2 linked regions of the Arabidopsis thaliana genome follow. The protein of the gene in region 2 interacts with the protein of the main gene of each other region in a pairwise test. Each region holds a gene or a part of one and is shown on either strand. Other genes may lie near its edges.

The links. Proteins that work in one complex are often made in the same cells at the same time.
Region 1: the proteins of PUT1 (region 2) and ABCG10 interact in a protein complementation assay, tested with the Arabidopsis thaliana proteins (one large-scale study listed by BioGRID).

The regions. Positions count from the first base shown.
Region 1 is NC_003070.9:19,860,674-19,864,427, forward strand, and holds the start of ABCG10 (ABC-2 type transporter family protein), read left to right. Parts: upstream 1-2,147; 5' UTR 2,148-2,204; coding exon 2,205-3,754. Other genes in the region: AT1G53265 (uncharacterized protein), read right to left, coding at 425-802.
Region 2 is NC_003070.9:11,416,607-11,420,360, reverse strand, and holds the start of PUT1 (Amino acid permease family protein), read left to right. Parts: upstream 1-1,896; 5' UTR 1,897-2,094; intron 2,095-2,195; 5' UTR 2,196-2,221; coding exon 2,222-3,670; 3' UTR 3,671-3,754. Other genes in the region: PUT2 (Amino acid permease family protein), read left to right, coding at 1-1,486.

The DNA of each region.
Region 1 (3,754 bases), 8.4 Mb from region 2:
GATCATTCAGCGAAGCGGAAGTAACCTGCGTAGACATACACCTAGCTAGAGATACACCGGCACGGACCAACGCTGAGAATCCAGAAACGAGAGAACGTGAACGATTCAACAACGAAGACGCAGATCGAGAAACAGTAGGGGAATTGGCGAGAGGAGATGACGAAGAGAAGGAACGAGTGAACAGTGAGGAAAAGGATTTAGCTGGCCGGTGAAGGATGGAACGAGAAATCGCCATTGGAAGATGATAAAAATGGAGAGGTTTTAGTGAAAATGGAAAAACCCCAAGCATAAATGGGTTTAGATGGATCTTTCAAATTTCAAGGATATTATGTAAAACTAAAAATTGTAGTACATATCATTACTATTTTACATTATTTTCAAAATCGTCCCATTGTTATTTCAATTGACATGAGAAACCCATTTGTCACGAAATCATCATAAACAACCATATGTTGAATTCTTCTCTTTCGTCGAGGTTAGTAGAGAACATATCTGGTTGCTCAGTGGGAGTGACATTAAAAACGTCGTCTATGTATTGTAGATTAGGTATTTCAATGATACCTAGTTGAGGATCTCTCAAATAGCTTATAATCTTTGGTAGGACAAGATCCTCCATATTCGTATGCAAATGGACATTGGCAAAGTTATGTGGTAGCTCATATTCCCGTTCTGCTAAGGCCATCTTTTTGTGCTCTTCAGAGCAATACCGAGATTCAGGTGCGTAGACACATGTACAAGACCAGTACGCGAAGGCCTTATCTTTATGCACATAATGCATAACACGAAGATTGGCAACACCCATTGCAGAAACCTGCTAATACACATTGTTAGGTCTAGAGAAAAAAACTCTCTCTCGCAACTTTGAAGATTTTGTTTGCTCTTTGGATTGTCGAGATTGTTTCATTTCGTGTTTTTATATTATTTTTTACTTTTAGTTTTGGATTTGAATCTTAGGTTTAAAAAAGAAAAAGAAAAATTGTGATCAAAACGACATGGTTTGATTGAAGATGATGCTAATTCATTAAACATGGGTCATTTGAGTCGACGTATGTTAGTATTAACTAACATTTGTTATTGCAGATCCTAAAATACGTGCGACCTATAAAGTTTGGATATAATTTTTTTTTTTTTATGAATTTGGGTAAAGAATTAACATTGTACAGTATGTTTTATATAAGAAAACAATACTTTGCAAATTGTACTGGTATAAAAATATCGTTTTTCCAGTCACCCGCTTACGTTTGGTCCAAGTTGTTTTTAATTTTATACCGAATTAAAGTTTATTAGTCACAACTTTAAGTGTTTTTTCCAAACCCAAATCAAAATTCGATTTTTTTCGTCACAACTTTGAATCAGCCCCTTCACCTTTGCAGCCACATCTAACCGAATGCCCACCTAGACAACATCTTATAATGCGTCTTTTTATTATTATTATCCAAAAATAATTAAATTAGTGAGGTTTCTTACGTGATTATTCCTTGTTAATTAAACATCTGAATTTCCGTAAGCGAGTTCGAAACACGTAATTAAATATTGTAGGTAATATATAACAACCAAACTGGGTTTCCTCTCTTTCTTTGTTAGAAAAAACTAATAAATTAGATAAAACAAGTTCACCAACAAGGCAAACATTTCACGGTCAATTTTTCAGCTCACCCGAATTTGAGAATCTCTAGACGAAACCAAATCTCTTTCTAACTAATTCTTTTTTTGCTTTTCTTGTACCTCTTCACAATTTCAAAACCCAATTAAAAAAAAAAAAAAAAAAGAACCAACTACATATCTTAATTTCTTAGATATTTTTTTTGGTCAACCAATTTCATTAGAAATTAAAAAATACAAGAAAAACAACAAATGTTTAATTTCATATAAATTTATCTAACTGTATCAATATTATTTACGAACAAATTCTTTATTAAGAAAAACAAATTAAGCATTTTAAGCTTGGAATCATAAATATCTTTGGTTTAATTTAGTCATAGTCAAGTGCTTTTCGGTTTTCATGGAAGGCAATAAGAGAAAGCTAATAAAGTCTTGAAGCTTTTGAATGTTTGAATAATAAAGGAGAGGTTCCTTAAAGTTTGGTGTGTTAGTTCATCTTCTCTACCATTTATTCTTCACTTAATCTCACACTCTTTGCTCAATTTGTTGATTTCTCTATCTCTCAAAGTTTGATGCTTTCTTTTTCCTTCTTTCTTTCTTAGATGGAATTGCCGGTAAAAGCTCCTATTCCCGGTGGCCGGGAAATCTCATATAGATTAGAAACCAAGAATCTGTCGTATAGAATAGGCGGAAACACTCCAAAGTTTTCTAATTTATGTGGTTTGTTGAGTGAGAAGGAGGAAAAGGTTATCTTAAAGGATGTTTCTTGTGATGCAAGATCCGCGGAGATCACTGCGATCGCGGGTCCAAGCGGAGCAGGGAAAACCACGTTGCTGGAGATTCTAGCCGGAAAAGTTTCTCATGGGAAAGTTTCAGGGCAAGTGCTTGTCAACGGTAGGCCTATGGATGGTCCTGAGTACAGGAGGGTTTCAGGGTTTGTGCCACAAGAAGATGCTCTGTTTCCGTTTCTTACGGTGCAAGAAACACTGACGTACAGCGCACTCTTGAGGCTGAAGACAAAGAGGAAAGACGCGGCTGCAAAGGTGAAGAGGCTGATTCAAGAGCTTGGTCTAGAACATGTTGCGGATTCAAGGATCGGTCAAGGATCAAGATCTGGAATCTCTGGAGGAGAGAGAAGAAGGGTTTCTATTGGAGTTGAACTTGTTCATGATCCAAATGTTATATTGATCGATGAGCCAACCTCTGGTTTGGATTCTGCGTCCGCTCTTCAAGTTGTGACGCTTCTCAAAGATATGACGATTAAACAAGGTAAAACCATTGTTCTGACGATTCACCAGCCTGGTTTTCGCATACTCGAGCAGATAGACCGGATAGTGTTGCTCTCTAACGGGATGGTTGTTCAAAACGGATCAGTTTATAGCCTTCATCAGAAGATTAAGTTCTCCGGTCACCAGATTCCTAGGCGGGTAAATGTCTTGGAGTATGCAATTGATATTGCAGGGAGTCTTGAACCGATCAGAACCCAGAGTTGCAGAGAAATCTCATGTTATGGTCATAGCAAAACATGGAAGAGTTGCTATATTAGTGCAGGAGGAGAGCTTCATCAATCTGATTCTCACAGCAACTCAGTGTTAGAGGAAGTGCAGATACTCGGGCAAAGATCTTGCAAGAACATCTTCAGAACCAAGCAATTGTTCACAACCAGAGCCTTACAAGCTTCCATTGCCGGTCTTATACTGGGGTCGATTTACTTGAACGTAGGAAATCAAAAGAAAGAAGCGAAAGTCTTGCGAACCGGGTTCTTCGCCTTTATCCTCACTTTCCTGCTATCTTCCACAACAGAGGGACTTCCAATTTTCTTGCAAGACAGGAGAATCCTAATGAGAGAGACATCGAGAAGGGCTTACAGAGTTTTGTCTTACGTTTTAGCAGATACTCTCATATTCATTCCCTTCTTGTTGATCATAAGCATGCTCTTTGCTACGCCGGTTTATTGGCTGGTCGGTCTCAGAAGAGAGCTAGACGGCTTCCTCTACTTCTCATTGGTGATATGGATTGTTCTTCTGATGTCAAACTCTTTTGTCGCATGTTTCAGTGCTCTTGTCCCAAACTTCATAATGGGGACATCAGTAATCTCAGGTCTCATGGGATCTTTCTTCCTCTTCTCCGGGTATTTCATTGCAAAGGACAG
Region 2 (3,754 bases):
GCAGAAGCGGAGAATCATCACTGTGAACCCCTCCGCGTCTATTGAGATGAGTCAGTACGAGAATAATGAAGTTCCTTACTCAAGTGTCGGTGCTGATGAGGTTCCATCATCACCGCCTAAAGCTACCGATAAGATTCGGAAAGTTTCCATGTTGCCACTTGTTTTCCTCATATTCTATGAAGTCTCAGGAGGTCCTTTTGGTGTAGAGGATAGTGTGAATGCAGCAGGACCATTATTAGCTCTTCTAGGGTTTGTGATCTTTCCTTTCATTTGGAGTATCCCTGAGGCTTTGATTACTGCGGAGATGGGAACAATGTATCCCGAGAATGGTGGTTATGTTGTGTGGGTTTCCTCTGCTTTGGGACCTTTTTGGGGGTTTCAGCAAGGTTGGATGAAATGGCTTAGTGGTGTTATTGATAACGCTTTGTATCCTGTTCTGTTTCTTGACTATTTGAAGTCTGGAGTCCCGGCTTTAGGTAGCGGTTTACCGAGAGTTGCATCGATCTTGGTGCTGACTATTTTGTTGACGTATCTGAACTACAGGGGACTAACTATAGTTGGTTGGGTTGCTGTGCTTATGGGAGTTTTCTCCATCCTTCCGTTTGCTGTGATGGGTTTGATTTCGATTCCGCAGCTAGAGCCTTCGAGATGGCTTGTGATGGACTTAGGGAATGTGAACTGGAATTTGTATCTTAACACGCTTTTCTGGAATCTAAACTATTGGGACTCGATTAGTACACTAGCTGGTGAAGTTGAAAACCCCAACCATACACTTCCAAAGGCTTTGTTTTATGGTGTGATCTTAGTTGCTTGTTCTTACATCTTCCCTCTTTTGGCTGGAATCGGGGCAATCCCGCTAGAGCGTGAGAAATGGACAGATGGGTATTTTTCTGATGTGGCCAAAGCTCTTGGTGGAGCGTGGTTGAGATGGTGGGTTCAAGCGGCTGCAGCTACATCAAACATGGGAATGTTTATAGCCGAGATGAGTAGTGACTCTTTTCAGCTTCTCGGAATGGCTGAGCGCGGTATGCTTCCCGAGTTCTTTGCCAAAAGGTCACGTTACGGGACACCTTTACTAGGGATTCTGTTTTCAGCGTCAGGTGTTGTTCTCTTGTCTTGGCTAAGCTTTCAAGAGATTGTAGCTGCAGAGAACTTACTCTACTGCGTTGGTATGATCTTAGAGTTTATAGCGTTTGTTAGAATGAGAATGAAACACCCTGCTGCATCAAGACCGTACAAGATACCTATTGGAACCACAGGTTCGATCCTCATGTGTATTCCTCCAACCATACTGATCTGTGCTGTTGTAGCACTCTCGTCTCTTAAAGTAGCTGCAGTGAGCATTGTGATGATGATCATTGGTTTCCTGATACATCCTTTACTGAACCATATGGATCGAAAGAGATGGGTCAAATTCTCCATCAGTTCTGACTTACCGGACCTTCAACAGCAGACTCGGGAATACGAAGAAACTCTAATACGTTAAGAATGTCCTTAGTTATTTCCCTCGTCTATGTTAAGTACAGAGCTTGGAAGCTATAGCCAAAAAAGCTTAATTTCTCATAGTCTGTACTCTGTTTTATTCACAGCTTGTTCTAAAGTTGTAGTTTTTTCGTAAAGTTAGGTCATCGTTAGCACGGTTCCAATAAAATGTGCAATGTTTGTATCTCTGTTATGTTTTTGTCGTTGCCATTGTCGATTTGAAACATGGCTTTGGAAATTTGAAGTCTTTGAACAAAACCTTCGATCAAAGTCTGGTCAACAGTTGCAAAGCTTGGATCTTTGGATAAGTTTTCATCACCAATGATTGGAAAGAGAGAAAAAACCCTCACAAAACCCCAAAAAGCAGTATCAGTGTTTGACACGCAAACAAAATCGCTATAGTCTCAATTGATCGGAGGTTCTATCACCATCGTCTCCATCTGCATAATTTATTAAATATTTAGGACTTGTCATTGATATGGACACTCTCAAAACAGAGAACCACAATTTCTTCAATCCTTTCCAGGATATGACAAGTACAACGATATGGGTGAGTTTTGTTTTCTTCTTAAAGCATCGCTCAATCTTCAGACAACCCTAGATTCTCTCACGGTTTGTACTTCTTTACCTCTCGTAAATGTTTAGACTTTCGTATAAGGATCCAAGAATTTATCTGATTGTTTTTTTTTCTTTGTTTCTTTGTGTTGATTCAGAAGGGAAGTATCATTAGTTCATTACCATGGGAGACTATAACATGAATGAATTTGCTTATGGTAATCTTTACGATGATGATGATGGCGATGTTGGTGGATCGTCTAAAGAAGGAAACAATTCGATTCAGAAAGTTTCAATGTTACCACTCGTTTTCCTCATATTCTACGAAGTCTCAGGAGGTCCTTTCGGTGCTGAAGGTAGTGTGAATGCAGCAGGACCATTGTTAGCTCTTTTAGGGTTTGTGATCTTCCCTTTCATTTGGTGTATCCCTGAGGCACTAATCACTGCGGAGATGAGTACAATGTTTCCAATAAACGGCGGTTTTGTTGTTTGGGTCTCCTCTGCTTTGGGAACCTTTTGGGGGTTTCAAGTAGGTTGGATGAAATGGCTTTGCGGTGTTATTGATAACGCTTTGTATCCTGTTCTTTTCCTCGATTATTTGAAGTCCGCGGTCCCGGCTTTAGCTACTGGTTTGCCAAGAGTTGCATCGATCTTGATCTTGACTCTATTGCTTACTTACTTAAACTATAGAGGACTAACCATTGTTGGTTGGACCGCTGTGTTTATGGGAGTTTTCTCTATGCTTCCGTTTGCTGTAATGAGTCTGGTTTCTATTCCGCAGCTCGAGCCTTCGAGATGGCTTGTGATGGATTTAGGAAATGTCAACTGGAACTTGTATCTCAACACGCTTTTATGGAATCTGAACTACTGGGATTCGGTTAGTACACTGGCCGGTGAAGTGGCAAATCCGAAGAAAACACTTCCTAAGGCTTTGTGTTACGGTGTTATCTTTGTCGCTCTTTCGAACTTCCTCCCTCTTTTGTCTGGAACCGGGGCTATACCGTTGGATCGTGAGTTATGGACAGATGGATATCTAGCTGAGGTTGCTAAAGCCATCGGTGGAGGATGGTTACAATTGTGGGTTCAAGCGGCTGCAGCTACATCAAACATGGGAATGTTTTTAGCCGAAATGAGTAGTGATTCCTTTCAGCTACTTGGAATGGCTGAACTCGGTATACTTCCCGAGATCTTTGCGCAAAGATCTCGCTACGGGACACCTTTACTAGGGATTCTGTTTTCAGCCTCAGGTGTTTTACTCTTGTCAGGATTAAGCTTTCAAGAGATTATAGCTGCAGAGAATTTGCTTTACTGTGGTGGAATGATTTTGGAGTTTATAGCATTTGTTAGACTGAGGAAGAAACATCCGGCTGCATCGAGACCGTATAAGATACCTGTTGGAACCGTTGGTTCGATTCTGATATGTGTCCCTCCGATTGTACTGATATGTTTGGTTATTGTTCTATCTACTATTAAAGTGGCTCTTGTGAGCTTTGTGATGGTGGTCATTGGTTTCTTGATGAAACCTTGTTTAAATCATATGGATGGAAAGAAATGGGTCAAATTCTCAGTCTGTTCTGATTTGGCAGAGTTTCAGAAGGAGAATTTGGATTGTGAAGAGTCTTTGTTACGTTAGGGATACAAAGGTAAAAAAGCTTGGAACCTATAGTCAAACTCAAACAAACTGTATATCTTTCTGCTCGTTTTTTACTTTTTGTTC